Oryzias latipes: one gene and its partners. The protein of the gene in region 2 purifies or fractionates together with the protein of the main gene of each other region. This does not show direct contact. Links are inferred from orthologs where the notes say so. Each region holds a gene or a part of one and is shown on either strand. Other genes may lie near its edges.

The links. Proteins that work in one complex are often made in the same cells at the same time.
Region 1: the proteins of mettl9 (region 2) and zinc transporter ZIP10 purify together in Homo sapiens (co-immunoprecipitation; 3 studies listed by BioGRID and IntAct, with this or other methods). This does not show direct contact. The link is inferred for Oryzias latipes from reciprocal best matches to the Homo sapiens genes METTL9 and SLC39A10.
Region 3: the proteins of mettl9 (region 2) and slc30a1 purify together in Homo sapiens (co-immunoprecipitation; 3 studies listed by BioGRID and IntAct, with this or other methods). This does not show direct contact. The link is inferred for Oryzias latipes from reciprocal best matches to the Homo sapiens genes METTL9 and SLC30A1.

Annotation. Positions count from the first base shown.
Region 1 is NC_019879.2:3,433,241-3,437,295, reverse strand, and holds the start of zinc transporter ZIP10, read right to left. Parts: upstream 2,865-4,055; 5' UTR 2,033-2,864; coding exon 2,027-2,032; intron 1-2,026. UniProt on the Homo sapiens protein: Zinc-influx transporter. When associated with SLC39A6, the heterodimer formed by SLC39A10 and SLC39A6 mediates cellular zinc uptake to trigger cells to undergo epithelial-to-mesenchymal transition (EMT).
Region 2 is NC_019877.2:20,101,663-20,105,726, reverse strand, and holds the start of mettl9 (methyltransferase-like protein 9), read right to left. Parts: upstream 2,812-4,064; 5' UTR 2,797-2,811; coding exon 2,617-2,796; intron 2,080-2,616; coding exon 1,889-2,079; intron 1,817-1,888; coding exon 1,607-1,816; intron 1,445-1,606; coding exon 1,260-1,444; intron 1,178-1,259; coding exon 942-1,177; 3' UTR 1-941. UniProt on the Homo sapiens protein: Protein-histidine N-methyltransferase that specifically catalyzes 1-methylhistidine (pros-methylhistidine) methylation of target proteins.
Region 3 is NC_019882.2:6,335,976-6,340,046, forward strand, and holds the start of slc30a1 (zinc transporter 1), read left to right. Parts: upstream 1-1,207; 5' UTR 1,208-1,563; coding exon 1,564-2,131; intron 2,132-3,096; coding exon 3,097-3,956; 3' UTR 3,957-4,071. Other genes in the region: serine/threonine-protein kinase Nek2, read left to right, coding at 1-26, 291-496. UniProt on the Homo sapiens protein: Zinc ion:proton antiporter that could function at the plasma membrane mediating zinc efflux from cells against its electrochemical gradient protecting them from intracellular zinc accumulation and toxicity.

The DNA of each region.
Region 1 (4,055 bases), on a different chromosome or scaffold from region 2:
ATAATTTAGGGAATAAAACAAAAAGGGAAAAAAAACTTAGATCTGGTCTATATTTGTTCTTTTGAACAACAACAACAAAAAAAATACAAAAAGAATTTATTATACCTAGCTGGATTAAAATAATGCAAATTCTTATTACATTTTGTTGTGAAGTCACTGACGTTTAAACACTTTCACGAAAAAAATGACCTGTTTCAGGGGCCAACGTCATTATAGAGTCACACCAGAAAAAATTGGAAGCAAAAGTTCACCAAGAAATCATTAAGAAGGTGACTATTAGCATGTAACTTTCTAAGGCCAGTGTTGAACTCTCATTTTTTTGGTTGTACAATCCAGGAAAAAAGGTTAGGACTGTTAATACATGTGACCAACAACAATATTTAGCTTTGGACATGCTTAAAATACATGCGGCCAATGCAGCAAAGTGCACCTGGCTCCATTGATTACGTGTGGCCAACATGAATGTCAGTCGGTTTTTGTGCTTGGTCACGCATAAATATGTGCCAATAACATCTGCCAATCATTAAATCAAACATGGAAATGTCTCAAGACATAAAACATAGAATTTAACTGCATAAATATTACATTTGTCCCCTTCTCTTTTCTTTAAACCAAGACAATCAAGTTGTTAAAATAAAAATATATCCAAAATTCTGTTTTTTAAATATTTACTTCAATAAAAAATGAAGCTGTCTTTTTTAGTGTTCCAGTGCAAACTCAATTAAACATGGGTTAGGATTTTGGCTAATTCAAATCTTTAATTTTGTTTTTTGGGCTATTTGGAAATATGTTTGCTCATCTGTTTAGGGTTATGCGCACTGCTGCAAAGATAACTATATTACAGATTTTATCCTCATAATATTTTTGGTCAACTAAGGCACATTTACTCTATTCTTTTCTTTTAAAGAACAACAGTAATACAATGAGCATAGAAAAAAAGACGTCATCATAACATGCAAACCAGGGTAAAAATAACCTCACAATAAATCCTTAATTGAAATGACAAAGCTTTTATAAGGTTTAGTATTTTTAATGGTTTCCCTATTACTTGACATCAAATTTGTTCCTAAATCTGTCACTTTCCCACTTGGTTTTTTTTTTTTTTAGTTTGTGTCAAACGGTAAATTTAAAGTATAAGAGCTCATAGGGCATCTGTTATAAATTACCTTCCTGTTGCGATAATTGCTTTAATATAAGAAAATCAAGAAAGGATTTAAATTTAACACAGATGGAGGCCATGGCCAGTTATAAGAATTGTTCGATTGTCATTTCAAAGTTCATTAAACTGCTAATGTAATCATGCTGACACATGCAGCTTCTTCGTCTGAAGAATAATGCTTTTATTTAGGAGGAAAAAAAAAAGTAGTATTCAGGATTTGTTTGGTCGATTACTGTTAGAAAGACTGACATCAAACAGATCAAAACCCTGACAATTAGTAAAAAGCTGTAATTCAACAAAGCACAACATAAGCAAAATCTTGGCAGAAATATCCATAATGTGTAGGACTGGCACATGAGAAATCAGGGTTTGATTCCCAAGGGGGCGCAAGGAGCTTCATCCAGTGTGAGCCTTTGGCCAATACCCTTCCCGCTACAGCCTAGCTGTGTAGCCACAAGGAGAACCAAGTCTTCCTGTGTCAGTGACAGGAAGGCCATCAGGCGCCAAACTCTGCCAAAGTCACCTGTGATTCATTCCAAGTTTGTTTGCATATTTAAGACGCCAGCAACAAAACATATAGAGGGACCAACTGGTCCATCTGGTTAGGGTTTTGTTTTAATGAACAGGACAGATGACTGCATTCTGATAGAAAGTACGACTACCAGCACTGGTTTACTATGACTAATGTTTCCAGTTCCAGTTCAACTATTTAAGAAAGAACAGTCACTTTACAGGTTAACAAAATACAGCCCATCATCCAACATAAAACTGTTCCATTTAACTTTTGGAAAAAAATGACACAGGAGCTTCTTAAACATGTGATGTTTTCAGCTGGCTGGATTCCTCAAAGTGGTAACCATGAATCACCTTCATGGGAGGGTATGCTGATGCACCGTGGGCTGGGTTTGAACAGGGAGAGAAACACTGAATCAGAAGTGAGCAAACTTCTCAATGCCTCACTTTAAATCCAGGTCAAACTTTCAACAAATGTAAAAAGCTTTAAGAGTTCGTAACCCAACCAGATTACGCATATAAACGTAGTTTCAAGTTGACACGTTTTAGTTCCTACATGCAGCTTTCTTCGCGTGCTTAAGCCTGTAGAGACACTGATTTAGGCTAATCAGATAGGAACTGTTCACCATGACGAAACGCATTTTCAACTGTGTAACAGATGGGGACAGAAAAGCCGCGTGCAGCACAACGAAAAGCTAAGGTATATGAAGCGCCGCGCTCCACACACTCTACACCGCAGCGGAATACTCTACACGTTGGTCAAAGTCCATCTCGACCACGAAACTGGCGAGCCTCCGCGGTGAAGAAGCGGCGACACTGCCCATCTGTTGACCGGCAGACGCTACACGTGGTGCGCCTCCAAGACACACACTAAAGCTGACCGCGGCTCTTCTTCCGCGTCACTGGAACCAGACTTTCACAAAACGAACTACCAAACGCGCGCCAGCGTTTTCTCCCGAGCAAAGGCAATGCCCCGTTTTGGCTAATACGCTGCTTAAATATCCCACTCGATTTTTAGCCTCGCGCCCCATTCGTAAACGCGCGGATTTAAAGCAGCAACTGTTAGCTAGCAGACCACACAGGAAATTAGCCTCGTGTCTCCAAAGAGCCTCGCGCTGCTTTGATGCGTCTAACTCTGCTCTGGATGTGAACAACTAGAATATTAGAATTGTACACCGTAGCTAACGCTACCACGGTCCATGTTGTGGGAGTGAATGAAAACAAGTGGAGGTTTTTTTATACAGTTACCTCACTCGAGTGCCGTGTGCATCTCCTCTCCGCTCGGTACTAAAAAAAAAAGGAAAAGTCCGCATGAATTTACGTCACTGGACGGATGGTTGGCGAATTCAGGAAGCTGCTCTACGTCATTTCCCTCCATAACTGCAATAGGACTGCCGTAGGCTTACGCAAATGGCGCAGAGAGTCAAAGAAAGAGCCTTCTCAGGCGAAATGCAGGTGCTTATGTGCTTTGTGTCTCAAAGGTTTCATGTTAATTCAGTGCAGAAACACTTTCTACTTAACCTGCTATGTAAAATTCATGATAAAAAAACAACTTTAACAAACAGAAAATAGGAATTTAAGAGTTACATTTTTGAATTATTTGCCTTTTTTCCAGATTTTACTTTAATCTCTTTAAGAAATCTTTATTTTCTTAAGGAATATAATGTAAAATTACATTTAGTTATTTTAAATGTTAATTTTGTAGCCGGCCAGATTGTGTTTAAATATAAAAAAAAAAAATCGGTATTCCATTGTGTCCTTTTTATCCCTTAATTTGATACAAACTGGGATGTACCAAATGTTACAGTTTCTTAGAAAAACAATGGATTTTTATGTCAAAAGGAGCAATTTTTTGTGGACAAGTCTGATATTACACTAAAAATAAACACATATTTGGCATTTCCTAATTGAAGTATTTTAAAAGCTTAAGAGGGCTCTGTCTAATTATTTAAACCATAGTTAACAATTTACCTTTTGTTTTGTTTTATAAAGATAATAGTTGTAAGCTGCAGTCCATGTGCCTCTAACACTTAAGCCTTAATTTTCAACTTTTAATGGGTGAGAAATTCTGCATTCAGTGTTAATGTGGCCTACCAAAAAGCAGGCATTACAGTTAGACATGGTAGTTGAAAGCTAAATGTATTATCTCATGAAATACATATAAAAAAAAATGTCCTTAAAGAGTAACCTGCTTTTAACCGAATACTGCTGTCATTAACCTTGGAGAGCAGCAGAATTCCTTCCTTCAGTCATTCACATTGACAGGCATGTAGATAGATAATGAGAACAACCAGACTCTCATCTTGACTATAAAAAATGAATTTGGTTCGCAATTTGATTTTTGGGACTACTCAATCTGTTAACGTTCTTTGAAGTTATTATA
Region 2 (4,064 bases):
CAGATCGAATTTATAGATCTAAAGCTACAATCAGATACTCTTATTGTGAATATATCAAACGTATGCAGCACTTTTCGGTTTCCTGTTGTCACTTAGAAAGAAATTCACTACTTGATATTAAATTCAGTGCAACAAAGCAAAACAAAAGCATGGAATTCCATAAAGTTTAGCTTGAGGTTTGGCTTTAATACTGAATCGAAGGATGGAAAAGATTTCAAGTTGTTAAAACTGTTTTGGTCAGGTGCATAGATCCATTACGAGTGATCTGGAAATGAAACAGTTCGTAAAATATGATCAAGTTTAGGATCTGGTGGTGCCAAACGTGGCACAGAATTACGCTGATAATCCAACAGAAAGATGCCAAAAGGTGTGACACTCCTATAGGCCAAGCGGCATGTTTTCCCTGCAGTCGTGTAGCAAATGCATCTTAGTGGAGCGGCGTCCAGCATTGTGCAACTAATGCTTGGGATCTTGCCATCATTACCAACCTTGAGGGGGGAACAACGTGAAACGCTCATAAAGTGCTTCACCTCTGGGATATTTCACCTGGAAAACCTCTGTGGGATTTTATGTCTCAGAGGGTGAACAGGCAATTGTAAAAATCTTGTGCAATGGTGAAATCAAATATGTAGTACTATAAATTGAACCGTTTATGCAAATATTGTCAGAAATTTTGGTTAAAACGTTGACAGTTAAACATTTACATCACAAATAATGGACTTGGAAGACAGAAAAACTTTTAGAAAGGATGATCCCCCTTAGGTTTTCGTTTGAAATAACAGTATAACAAACTAAAAAAAAAAAGAAAAAGGAAATCACTGCTGTGTTGCGCCCAACTCCCTGCTTCTAAATTTCCGAGATGAATAAATGCATGAGGAAGAAGAAGAAGAATTGCACTAAAATCCAGGTACTGAGAAGAAATTTTGGGCCCCGTGTTGTGTTCAGAGCTCATGAACAGACTGCTCCGAGTCGCCGGAGGCCTTCAGAACAAAAACCGCATCATCCAGCACATAGTAGTCATTGTACATGTCTCCCTCGCACAGGTACGGCAGACGCGTCACCGCTTCCACCTCAAACCCCACCCGCGGGAAAACCTCGCTGGACAGATCGGTCACCTGCTCCTCCCACGTCTTTCCTTTAACTTTCAGGTGTTCTTTTGGTCGTTCCCACTTCCCGCCTGTCAAGCAGAGAAACGATGCTTGGATTTCTAGCTAGATGAAACGTCAGCAGAAGAGACAGAAATGGGATTCCTCACTGACCGACTTCTACGTAGGGCTGAAAGGGAAGCACAGCAGCCAAGACGAGCCGTCCGGTTTTGGGAACCAAGGCTTTTCTTATTTCCCGCAGGAGGTGCAGTGGATCCTCGCAGCGGTCCAGCAAGTTCAGACAGCTGATAAGATCATACTGAAATCCAACATGCTGCCACTCGTCTATACCCAGAACCCTGTGGCACACGGGAAAAGACAACAAAAAGACAGAGAGGAAAAACTTCTAATTGCCAATTAATTTCAACCCAAAAGAACACAGTGTTATTCTGTGGTTGCATTCTTGTATTGGCTTGAAGGGAAGGAACCTGTGAAAGCTTTTAGGATATGCTTCTACTCACTTGTAGTTCCTCCTCTGCAGATGCCACTTCATTGGCACAGACACCTCAGTTGCAAAGACCTGCCTGAAATGCACTCCCATCACCTCTGTGACCCCTCCATCACCAGCTCCAAGGTCCAGGAGTCTCTCTGCCGTCCAGTCTGGGCCGATCCGGAGCAACTGCTGGAACTGCTCGGACGAAAACACGAACATAGACCCTCTCCCCAAAACCCTGTGACACAGAGGAGGGTCAGGAGCAGGAAGAGGAACACAAGCTGCAATTCAAACACCCACTAGCGCTCACCCGTTAATGGAGGTGCGCGACAAAACGGGGCTTAGGACGGTGGACACCAGCGAGTGGTAGAGCTGCGTGAACAGCCAGCCGGACTTCTCTGCGCTCCTGTTGAGAAAATCCGTGGTGTCCGAGTCCAAGTGGCTTTGGATGAAGAGAGGCCGGACGGATTCTCCCAGCAGATCTGGGCAGCATCGGTACCACTGAACAAACAGAACAAGAGGTTTTGATTTCACAACACTTTTTAAGAAGTCCTGAGGTGAACTCCATCTCCTGTCACCAGTCTCATACAATACCACCCTTTACCTACCCCACAGCCCCTCCCTGAAAACAGTTCAGGTCTGTTTGGATTGAATTTTCTCAGCTCAGCAGAGGTGGGGCTGTGTTAAACTACACAGCAGAAAGTAGAATTTAAGAATTATTTCCTATTTAAATGTTAAAAAATAGTCTTTCCTGTGCAAAACCAATTTCCCCCCTTGTGTTTCAATCCCAGTCATCTTTAAAACTACTGTCACATTGTCTCTTTCAGCATAGTTTCTTTTGCAAAACAGAAGTTTCTCTTTTCAGCATCCCTCTGAATCATTTAGGTCAGTGCAAAGAGGCTAAACGAGCAACGAATAAATAACTAATGACAAATTCGTGACACATTCGAATAAGGACATTCTTGGATTTAAAATAAACACTGTAAATTTAGATTTTGTAGTTTTATATTTTCAGAAAAAAAATAAGGACAGTCGTACCTCGTGTGTTTCCCTGGCACCACTGGCCTCGTGCTCATTCACCATATTCAGGACTAGAGAGCGCACGAGCGGGCTGCGCGCGTGCTTAGCGGTCCACATTCTCCTGATGGAGAGCAGAAACGCCACGTAGCCCAGCAGCCAGGCTACAAAAAACAGAGTCTTCAGCTGTAGATGACACATACGGAAAACAATGTCTGAGAGCCGAGAGAGCGGCAGCCGACAGCAGAGGGACAAGAGCAGGTAAGACGAGAAAACCCCGAGAGGAGAAACGTCTCCTATTCCAGGACTGTAAACCAACCTGAGGTGGGCGTGGGGGGACTTTACGGAGGCAAGCTGCTATTTACGCACCATCTTAGTCCAAGCGGAGCTTTGTTTGCTGAGCTGAAACGGCAGAAACTGAGCCGGGATGAGAAACACTCCCCCCTTTAACAATAAAAACAACCATATCCGCATTCTTCTTCTGGGTGTTTGGGTTGACATAGCACCGAATCTTTGGGGATTTACTGCCCCCTGTCGGCAAACACCGGCAACTTTCTGTTTTCCTGCTGAAAAGGGGGTTCCACATTTCAAGCCATTAATCATACAGAGTATCTAACTTATACCGAATGTATGTAGTGATTTATTTATTTCAAACATGTAAAAACAATAAAAATAACAAATACGATCATGATTTTCAATACTTGGAAAAAAATGTTTTCCATTAGACTGATGATGATGATGATAATTATAATAATAATTGTTGTGACTTTATATGATGTTGCTCCGAGTTACCTTAGCGTGGGTGCTATCAGCGGGTCTCTTAATTAGGACCGACGACAGGGACACAGCTTTCGGTGCAAGAGCTTTTACATGTACTTTACTCTGAAACCCCTCATGGCATATACAGGCCGACAGCACCATCTATTGGTGGCGGTGGTTATTACTGTCTATCACAATATACCACATCCCTCTTTTCCCAAGACATGTTAGTCATAACATCTTCAACAGTTGTTTAAACACAAAAGCACCCTCTAAATAATTTGAACATTAGACGGTCTTATGCTCTTAACATAATGGCTAGGCAAATTCAGATTGTAAACAACCTTACATTTAACAATGTGCATCTTAGTGCAGTAGTCTGAAACTTCGACATACAAACATTTAACTTATTTCTTAAAATGTTTTAAAACGAACATACTCTTTTCTTTTACGTAACCATTAAACAAATCAAAGCAACAGTATGAACACAAAACTGTCACATTAACTAGTCTCTGTATCTGGCAGGACGTATGACTGCTCGACCACTGCGTGTGAAGTACGGTGCTGTGTTTTCCATACTCTCTGAAGATGATTTCTGTGGGGAATCACATGCTGGTGGATCAACTGACTCTGGGTTTTGAGATAATAGTCCATCCGAGTCCAAATTCAGAGTTGTGTCCTTAAACAAACTTGAGTGTGTTTTCCTCAGA
Region 3 (4,071 bases), on a different chromosome or scaffold from region 2:
GGACCTGATCTTTCTCGAAGACATAGGTAGGGGAATCCAACAAAGACCTCTGGACTTACTGAACTTAGATACAGCTGGGCTATGAATTTATGAATGAATGAAATATTTATTGTGTTTATATCAAGTAAATAAAGTATCTTTTTTTTGTAATCTAACAATGAACTTTTATTCAATAAACAAGTTTTAAAGCCATTCTCAGCTCAAACCAAATTCTTGACAAAAGAAATCTGCCTGATTATTAAAAAGCGCTTTCAAGTCGTGTTAATCAGATCCCTGCTGTTTGATTTTAGATGCGGAGATTTTGTCTCCTGGGAAGAAGAAGGTCCACTTTGCTGGTGAAAACATAGAGAATGAGCAGCCAGAGGGTCGCCAGAGTGCAACGTCTCAGGACTTGATGAAATTGAGACTGCAGGCTGCAAAGCTACGCGCCCAAAAACTCAGCGAGATGGAGCAAATGTGCCAATTCAAGAGCAGGCAGATGCTCGGCATACGCTGAGCGCATCCTGATGTTCTTCATGACTGAATTACAACTGGATTTTATGTTTTTATTTAATAATTGTTTGGCATTTTAGTGAAGCTAATTTATCTTGTGTATTTCAAGTTTTGTTGTTGCTCTCTTTGTTGTCCAACTATATTTTAAATGATTTATAGATTGTGTAAATGTCAATGGCAGCTGTTGAAAGTGTTAAAATAGTGTGCACATTATTGCTGTTTTAACAACCCTTTCATTAAAAAAAAAGATTTTATGAACCACTGTTGAAAATTAATAAACAAAAATGTCACAAATGGGTTTTTTATTTATTATGAACAGACGAATTCAAAGAGTAAATAAATGATTTTAAATGTTGCTTTGAAGCAATCAACATAAACGAGTTAAAAGAGAAACAGTAAATCTCATAGTCCAATGACAATTTAACGTCTGCTCTCCACGAGAGGTCATCAGTTTCTAATAAAAACAAATGTGAGTCCATCCAAATGAAGGAGTAAGCCAGGGTAGTTGTAGTGAAGCGTGCCTGACCAAAAAAAAAAAAAAAGGAAATGAGTTGTCGCGGGATTTCAGTTGTGGACAGCGTGCGTAGCAACCCTGGTTGTCCTGCTAAGTCACGCCTCCTACTTGCGTGATTGGTGAAATAGACCAATCACATGGGTTCTAGTTTTCCACTCACCAATGGGAACGGTGATGGGCGGGTCTTGCCCTTCGTGTTCCGTGTGAAAACTTTGCCCGGCTCGGGTGCAAAGTTTCAACCGTCTGCAAACTGGAAATCGTCGGCAGATGAGTCTGGAATATCCTGGAAAAGAACACGGTGTATTCACACGGTTACCAGGTTTAGGGCTTTGTGGAAAAATGTTTGCGGTGTTCGTTGGGTGTAGATGAGTGATGGTGGCGGGTGGTAGATAAAAACAGACCGGGAAGACGCAGTAGCTCGGATTTTATTGTCTGTTTGGAGCAGTTAGCTTAAACGTAGGTTAGGGAGCTAGCTTACCGTCGTCCCGGTGTCTGTCGTACATCTTAGACATTTTCTAGACTAAAACTTGAATTAAAAATACTAGTAAATTTATAAAATGGCTTGCGAACCCAACCGAGCGCGCCTGCTCTGTATGCTTTCACTGACTTTTGGCTTCTTCCTGGTGGAGGTGGTGGTCAGTCGCATCACTTCGTCTCTGTCGATGCTGTCGGACTCCTTTCACATGTTGTCCGACGTGATCGCGCTGATCGTGGCTTTGGTGGCCGTGCGCTTCGCCGAGAAGACTCAGGCCACCAACAAGAACACCTTCGGCTGGATCCGGGCGGAGGTGATGGGGGCTCTGGTCAACGCCGTCTTCCTCACGGCGCTGTGCTTCACCATCGTGCTGGAGGCGGTGGAGCGTTTCACCGAACCCCATGAGATCGACAGCCCGATGGTGGTCGCCGGGGTCGGCGCGGCGGGGCTACTGATCAACCTGCTGGGACTCTGCTTGTTTCATGGGCACGCCGGGGGAGGCCACGGCCACTCGCACGGGGGACACTCTCACGGGGGTAAGGGCAAAAAGGGGAAACATGGCAAGTCCCAGAAGGCCGGGAACGGATCTGCTGGAGAAGAGACCAACTACCTGGTGGGGAATCACACCAGCAACACCAAACCAAGCATGGGTATGTATGGAAACGTGCATTATATTTGACATGGTGGCGTTAACTGAGCCTAATCTTACTGTAAACAGCTCAGATTCCACCTTAAATCATCAGCTTTTCAAACAACTGCCTGACTAATCTGTATTGTGTTCTTGTCAGCTTCAGTCTTGACATTTATTTGTTTTCAAATGCATATAATTTGTTGAGTCACTACATCCCTGAAAAGTGTTGCGACACAAGCAAGACGTTTCTTGCTTTGTGAGAAGTACTCCTTTACCAAAGCTATCAAAACAACCTGGGATTTGTAGCCTTTATTTTGTGTTCAAAAAAGACCCCCTTCAGTGATGCTGATGACAGCCTCGCCTTCATGTGTTTCTATGAACACATCTTTTCTGTGCATAAGGATTTCAAAATAAGATTATCTCCTCCCTTCTTCATTCAAAGAAGGGTTAAAATCAAGTAAAGAACACCCTCCTCTTTTGTTAAGCCCTGCCAGTTTCAATAAATGAACCTTCATTTCTTCCACCCCTGTACACCGATTGCTATTAGTGGGTCATACATCAGAGACTCTGGGACTCGACAGCCCCGGACACATCATTAGTCCCTGATGAACGACCTGGAGGTGCCCTGAGAGAAACGGCTTCCTAAGCTCTGCCTTTTTGTTACTAAATCTGAATTAGGAAGACTCAGATGCCACATGCGAAGTTTGCTTTCTGTGTTTCACTGGTTTGCGCATGGCCCCGAGCTCTTGTGCTAAAGAATCAGTCACAAGGTTGAGGAGCCCTCTGCAGAAAAGCTGCTTTTGTTCAAAAGGGAAAACATGTTGGTTGATGTGATTGAACATATCACAGTGGACTAACGCAGATGTTGCATAGAACAACAATCTTCTTTAAACTCGCTGCTGGTATCTTGAGGTCAAAGTCTATGTGATTATGTAGTGTGACACTACAGAAGTCTAAACCTTCTTCTACGGTTGTTTTCTGCAGAGGTCAGCTGTAAAGACAGCACAGAGGTGCAGATGAACGGCAACACCCACTTCGAGGAGATGGAATCCGAGGCCGATGCGTCGTCGCAGCTCAACATGCGCGGCGTCTTCCTGCACGTCCTGGGGGACGCCCTGGGCTCCGTCATCGTGGTGGTGAACTCTGTCATCTTCACTTTCGTGTGGAAGCCCTGCGAAGGTCCAAGCTGTACGAACCCGTGCATCAACAGCCACAAGACAGACCACCGCCACATCAACCACACTCTAGTGGATCTGCAGGACACGGACACAAAAGCCGGGCCCTGTTGGGTGCTCTACCTGGATCCCACGCTGTGCATCATCATGGTGGGCATATTGCTCTACACCACCTACCCTCTGCTCAAAGAGTCCGCTCTCATCCTGCTGCAGACCGTCCCCAAGCAGATCAACATGCACCGCCTCAACGAGCGCCTGCTCAGCCTGGACGGCGTCCTGGCCATCCACGACCTGCACATCTGGCAGCTGGCAGGAAGCAGAATCATTGCCACGGCGCACATCAAATGCCACGACCCCACGTCCTACATGGATGTGGCCAAACGCATCAAGGACTTCTTCCACGACGAGGGCATCCACGCCACCACCATCCAGCCTGAGTTCGTCACCTTTAACTCCGAAACTCAAGGCTCCCAGTGCGAGCTTTCCTGCCGGACTCAGTGCGCTCCTAAGCTGTGCTGCGGACAGAAGTCTGCCAGTGACTCTAAAGCAGCTGCTGCCTCTGGCCTAGAGGTGATCAGCGAGGCTTCGGAGCAGGTTCCCAGCATTCAGGGGGGCCCTCGGACTGAGGCGGAGGTTGCTGTCACCAGAGAGGTGGAGTCCTCTGTGTGAGTCCGGGATTTCACATAAAGAGAGGCAGCAGGAAAACTACCACTTTGTGCTTAAGCATTACTCTCATTTTTAGAGGGTTTAATCACCCTTTTTCCCTTAAAATGACTTTTACTTT